Linked DNA regions of Nothobranchius furzeri. The main gene of each other region encodes a partner of the protein of the gene in region 2 in a complex. Links are inferred from orthologs where the notes say so. Each region holds a gene or a part of one and is shown on either strand. Other genes may lie near its edges.

Region 1 (2,429 bases), on a different chromosome or scaffold from region 2:
CTGCTAGCAACACACGTGCTGTTAGCTGCCAGCAAAACATGTGCTGTTAGCTGCTAGCAACACGCAGCTACGTGCCGTGAGGACAGAGTACGTTCACTACAGAGGGCAAATTTCTTCTTCACAAGTTGTTCCAAATAAACAAAAATATCTCAAAATGAACCTCAGATTTGTTATGTTGACAGTTTGAGAGACAGAAGTAACTGCAGAGTTGATTTATAATATGTGTATGGGATGTAAGAGTTGGCTCATTAAAAGACTGATAGATATGTTCAGATATTCCACTTTTATGCCGTTGTTAATGGCCGACTGATAACATTGGACATTTCTACTGAAAATGCTTTTAAACCTTCTTTCTGAAACTACAGGTTAAACATTTTCTGTGATGCTGCTGAAACACCCGTAGATCAAATCTGCGTAATCACGTTTCACATCACAACCAAAGTTTCAGCATCAACAAACATAAGAATTCTTTTTTTATGTTTTGACTTCTTCGTTTAAGCAGAATTTATACAGAAATCAAATCAAAAGCAGTTTTTGGGGAAAAGTAGCTTTAATGTAGTTTTAGAAAACAGTAACAAAGCTGAGACAAAAATAATAAGAAATGAAAAATAACGAGTTTTTCTGATCGTTTGAATCCAGAACCACGTTGAACCAATGCTACCAGGAACTGAAGTCCCCGAAACTCGTCTTTCCTTTGGACTTCTTGGGTGGAGCGCCGCTGGTGGACGGCCCGCTTTCATCTTCTGCTGCTGGACGTTTTCTGCAGGAGAACATTCATAATATCATCTGCTGCAGATAAATGAGGAAAGTATTAATTCATTTTAAATGGAAGTCATGTATAGCGTATGTCAGAAATAATTATTGATCTGAGTAAAGTACGGTCAATGTTAAAAGCCACGTTCATGTTACTGAATTAAGGTATTTAAACCGGGATTTTCAAAGAGAGCCTGGATTGTGGGATCTGGGATCTACGTGGTACACCCCCAGGACGGGACACTGATGCTGGCTGACCTTCATAATCAGCTGTCTTTTTCTACCAATGTGAGACGTTTTCCCATTCAGTTAAAGTAACTTTCCAGAGTTTTCTACTTTCAGAAATCATGTATGGTTATTCAGAAATCCGTAAAAGTGATCGTCTCAGCATGTACTGCGATATAATGTCAGTAATATGTCTTTATTTTATAGAGACATATTGCAGAGCTCCGTGCAATAAGAAACCAGAACTAACCAATAGTGTTAGACTACCGCTTACTTGCTTCAAATTTAAGGAATACCTCGGCTGATACAGAGTTGATGAACTTTTCACGGACAAGAAAGTCTTTAAAATATAAAAATATGAAAACACAAAATGACATGAGCACAATACTCGTTAAACGATGTGTTTTAGCCGTTTGTCGCTACAGAAGCACATTTATAAACAGAAACGAGAAGTCGCCATCTTAAAAAAACAGAGCAACAGACTTTTTGTGTGACATGTTTGTCAACCACTAGATGGTGCCATGGGATAAAAGAAATACTCCAGAAAGAGACTTTAACCCCAAAAATCCACTACCTCCGCTCCGGCACGAACTCCGCAGCAAAATCGGTCCCGTTGTAGTCAATCAGAGCTGTTCCACTACAGCGGCCGTTCCGCCATCCGGCAAAAATAGGATTGATTCTGTTTTTGCCAGACGCCGGAACACCTCCGCAGTCAATGGACAGAAACCACAACCGCCCAACAGGAAAGGGAGCAAGCACAACTTCCGTTATTTCACAATAAATCGATAAACAAAAAGCATTTTTTGTTTCATATGCACAGGTTTAACAACTTTTAACAACTATCAATGGCGGCTGAACTTTAAATGCACAAAAGTAAGCCATAAATACAGTTTCCACTATCAAAGTAGTCACACTTTGTTGATCCAAACACTGCTGATCTCTCAACACAAATGATGGGCAGATTAAACAGTTCATTTCAATGCTTCTCCCACACAACAGGTGTTTGGATCCAACTTCCGTGTTTATTACTCGGACTGTATCGCAAGATCTCGAAAATCCTGCGCATGCCTGTTTGCGCACCTCAGGTCTCCGCACCGGAGCGGAGCCGTTGCAGAGCGGGTACCAGTAAAAATTGAGTTCGGATGCGAGCGGCTGCGGAGGGCGGGGGCGGACCGGAGCGGAGGTAGTGGAATCTTGGGGTAATTCTGCTTCATTCTGTCTTTTGTATTATTTTAATTCATAATGTCTTCAATCAGATTTCTAAGAACCAAGTAGAGAAACAGTTTGATGTTTTGGAGCCTCATGGAGTTGTCTCGTTAAAACGAGAACAGTAGTTATGTGTACTTGTCTTTACAGGTTTAAGTGGACAGATTTTGACTTTAACCTGTAACGTGTGAACATGTGCATAACGTGGGGACATTTTACTGGTCCACACAATGCTAAGCACCCTA
Region 2 (4,360 bases):
TGGATACCGGCCCTCGGGGAGGGGAGTTGGTGATCGCTGCTCTAAACACACAACAGCTGCAGGCAGATGAGAACACACCTCACCCCTCAAACGTGAAAACATTAAAGCTTCATTTTAGTCGCAGCTCTTTTTCTGGTGATTTTTCTCTTTTTCAGCTTCTTCGGTCGATGTTTCCTAAAGCCGTTCGACTTGTAGAGGCAACGTTGTTGTTGTGATTGTTGTCATTCTGGTAACTTTGATCGCTTTTATGTAATTTTGTGTCTCTTTGTGGTCGTTTTGCTGATTTTATTGGTCTTTTAGAATAAATTGTAGTTTTCTTTTCATTGTTTGTTACTAATTTAAATGATTTTTATTTCATAACTTCTAATCTTTGTGACCATTTGGTGAAAATGTCATCTTTTTTATTTTATAGCCTCGTAAGACTAATTTTGCTATTTTAAAATCATATTTAATTAATAAATAATTTCCCTTTTGTTTTTGGTTGCTTTGCACGAGTTACTTTCTTGTGACTACAGTTTTTGCAACACTGCAAATTTATTTGTGTCTCTTCATCATTTTGCAGCTCTAAATACGTTTTTAAACACATGAAAAATATATTATGCTTTCTTTATCGGTTCAGTCGGTCTGTCTGTCTGTAACAGATTTTATTACGCCTCATGCCAACAGTAGTTCTCATACAACTCATGCACCCTCTGACTGGCCACTTCTCTAAACCTCGCGTACCGTCTCCATCCCATAACTGAGACCAGACTGTCTGATGGACGGGTTAATTACACGTTGGAAAGGTGAGGTCGGGAAAATACTCAGTGATGTAAAGAAACAAGTATTTCAAACATGCAGAGAGAGATCCAGAGCAATTTCATAGGAATTTTTCTGACAAAACCCAGCCATTTGCTGAATGAAGTCAGATTTCGGTTTTATTCACCATGGCAGGTTTGAACTTGCCTGACTTTTTGGTAACAGACAAACGCTTCAGAGCAGAAAACATTTTTTAAACATCGGGCTTCTTGTGCCTGGAGAAAAACAAAGCTGCAGAGAGCAAGCATGACCCAGTTATGACAGTCGTGCCAGGTTTAGCTCCTAAACCGATATGTTTTCAATCAGTCACTGATCCTGCATGACATAAATAGAGCAGGAGTTCAACTCAAGGCAGATGACATGATCTTGTTGCTGAGAATGAAAACGAGTTTGAAGAAAATTATTACTAGTTTTTCCTGGACTTAATAACTGATTTTTTTTGCCATTTTCTTTTGTGAATGTAGAGGAGATACAACTTTTTGGACTGGACTTTATTTCTGTATCGTGCCACGAACATATAGCAGATACTCTATAAACAACTGACATATCAACCCCAGAGATCGTGCATACATATTGTAGGTGTTTAATTCACGTTTCGTTTATCAGCTCACAGTTTACTGTTCAATGGGTGACTGTAAATGAGAGGAAGAGGGGAAACTTTTGGAGCTTTACACTAAATCACTTGGGTAGCAGTTCGCTCATCCGGCCACTGGGAGGCGCTGTTTAAAGCACGGAGACTCGTGCCCAGGTCGGAAAGTTGTACTTCCGGTCGGCGGTAAAGCGTGCTTCGTGGTTTGCAAACGTTATCGAGACGAACATATTTTACTTTTTTGATTTAGCTTATTAAAGCTGTTTAATTTGATATAAAATGGTGAGTAAGACGTTGTATATCTTTATCGTCTTGCGAATGAACTATCAGGATTTAATTCAGTGTATTTTTGTTGTTTAGCGTTAGCCATGTTAGCTTTTCATTCATAACTTCGACCTAGACCTTTCACACCCTCAAACACATATTAACACAAAACTGGTGTTATAAATCTTCGGTTTCTTATTCCCTTTGGGTTGTAAGCCGTCTACTCGTTCATCACTGTTAATAAACAAGAGAAAAGACCGCAGAGGCTACATCAACCGCTAGCATCCCCTCGCTTCCTGGCAAAATAAAGTCCAAACTATTTCGCTAAGATCGTTTATCAAAAGCTTCCATAAGGAAATGAATATATATTAATAATATGTCTCTCGACCTTTAGCTATTTAATCTTTATAATGTGAGCTAACTCCTCAGGCCTTTAAGTCCACGGTGTCCTGTAGCTAGCCTTAAGAGAGATGATCGGTTTAAAACAAGCGACTCAGAATGAGCTAAGAGCATCTTTGGTGTGTGCTTGCTGTGTTGAAATTCTAATTCCATCTTTTAGTTATTTTTAAAACACAGAAAGGTTTTATTTGCCTGCAACGTTTCGTTTGCGGCTGCAAACTTCGTCAGGCTGACGCTGCAGGTAAATAAAACAGCAGTAAAGCATTTAAACCTTTTTATTAAACCACCTGACCCGGATTAACCTTTGTGTTATGGGAGAACATATTAAAATTTAATAGTGATTGAACAAAATAATGCAATTTAAAGAAAAATAACACTATTAGGATTTAACAGCTTGTTTTATTACACAGATCAGTTGCGCTGATTCATTAAACGTTTTTTATGAATAAAATTAGATTGGTTAAACAGCTGTTTGGCCATTAAGTAATTCATTAGTAAAGTCAATAAAAATGATTTACTTTGCAGTAGATTTAAAGTTTGGATTCTACGCAAAAACGTTTAATTGAATCCGGATTTCCTTCATGTTGGAGTGAGGAGTATCTGTGTTGTAGGACGGACGGCTGGGGGTACGCTGCTGTTCAGCAGCGTTACAAATTCATGAAATGTAGTCGTTAAATGCATTTAATTTTCTTCAGTAGTGTGGGATGTAATGGCTTTGCTGACCTCTGTTCTTCTTCTACAGAGTTTACCTCTGAACCCGAAGCCTTTCCTGAACGGCCTGACGGGAAAACCTGTGATGGTGAAGCTGAAGTGGGGTATGGAGTATAAAGGCTACTTGGTGTCTGTGGATGGATACATGAACATGCAGGTGGGTGCCGTTTCTCCTCCTAACAACCAAACCACAGAATCTTCTCACATGGAAAAATAAACCATTTAATTATTTGTATACCTGCTCAGGATTTGCTACTGCTTGATGATTTTATTGTGTGGTTTTATCTGTGTCAGACTTCTTTATTATCATAAATTTGGTTAAGCCAAATCAAAATAAATGATAAAATTAAATTTGTACCCCAGGAAAATTCAGCTCTTTAGACCCATCATCCTGCTTGTTTTCTATGTTTCTTTGCTTCAACACACCTGATTTGAGTCATTAGGCGAATAATGAGCTGCTTCAGAAGAATTAAGCTATTGAATCAGGTGTGTTGGAGCAGGTAAGGAACTAAAACATGCAGAACCAGGGCTCACTGATGTTCTTTAATCAGTTCAACTTCAGATCATAGTCAGACTGCTGAAAGGTGTTTATCTTCGTGTCCAGCAGGGGGCGTTGTTTGATCAGTTTGAGGGAATTTTTGCTAAAGAGACTGAAGTGAATAAAGTCATGGCTCCAAAATGTCTAAGGAAACTTCATGTAATTATAATTTTACTTATTAATATTAACAAAGCAGCCTATTTATCCTTCAGCAGCAGTAAAATACAAATGTTCCCAAAGCAGGGTGTGTTTTCAAATGTTTGCATGTATATTTGGGAACAATATCTAGGATATGCACCCAGTTGTCAGCGAAATGCAAATCAGTTCAACAGCAGTTGATGAAGTTCTAACAGCTTTTTAAAAGTCTAATCCATAAACCTCCACTGGAAAGAATATAGATGCAGGAATTAGGCCTGCAGCTATCGAATATTTTTGTAATCGAGTACTCTATCAAATCTTTTATCGATTAATCGAGTACTCTATCAAATCTTTTATCGATTAATCGAGTACTCTAATAAATGACCCTTTTGTGTTTGTAAACCATTATATCAAATAGCATGTTATAAAATATGAAAGACCTCTTAAAATGAGTACGCTATTGCCAGTTATTCTTCAAGTTTTATTCAAAATCAGTTTGCAAAACTTCAGCACTTCAACTTTACTTCACAGTAAACAAATGCCTGTGCAAAAAATAAGTAAACAACCTGAGCTAATTTCCCCCGGTGTGAGAATCTACGAGCCTGCAAGCCAGACAAAAACTAGGATAACTGTTGAAGTAGCGCTGCGAGTGGCTGCGGCCCAAACAGAACCAGAACCGCTCACGGCGCATGCGCAATCATGGCTCGCCAGCTGTTTCCCTATTAACACACGTCCGTTTTAATTTCTACACTTTATTTTCTCACACAATAACAAGGATTGTCGAGAAAGCATGTTTGCCGTGGTTTTGTCGAATTATACTGATCACAAAACATTTATTTACTTTCGTTTTCCTCTCATAAATACCCGCGTCCTCCTGCAGCAACCCCGAGGGACAACAGACGTCAATAACAACACAGTAAAAA

Evidence for each region. The genes of interacting proteins can lie anywhere in the genome.
Region 1: snrpf (region 2) and ppil2 share a complex: the UniProt entries of both Homo sapiens proteins name them as parts of the minor spliceosome. The link is inferred for Nothobranchius furzeri from reciprocal best matches to the Homo sapiens genes SNRPF and PPIL2.

What each region holds. Positions count from the first base shown.
Region 1 is NC_091750.1:38,489,619-38,492,047, reverse strand, and holds the end of ppil2 (RING-type E3 ubiquitin-protein ligase PPIL2), read right to left. Parts: intron 761-2,429; coding exon 658-760; 3' UTR 532-657; downstream 1-531. UniProt on the Homo sapiens protein: Has a ubiquitin-protein ligase activity acting as an E3 ubiquitin protein ligase or as an ubiquitin-ubiquitin ligase promoting elongation of ubiquitin chains on substrates.
Region 2 is NC_091741.1:34,923,101-34,927,460, reverse strand, and holds the start of snrpf (small nuclear ribonucleoprotein F), read left to right. Parts: upstream 1-1,529; 5' UTR 1,530-1,666; coding exon 1,667-1,669; intron 1,670-2,792; coding exon 2,793-2,918; intron 2,919-4,360. UniProt on the Homo sapiens protein: Plays a role in pre-mRNA splicing as a core component of the spliceosomal U1, U2, U4 and U5 small nuclear ribonucleoproteins (snRNPs), the building blocks of the spliceosome.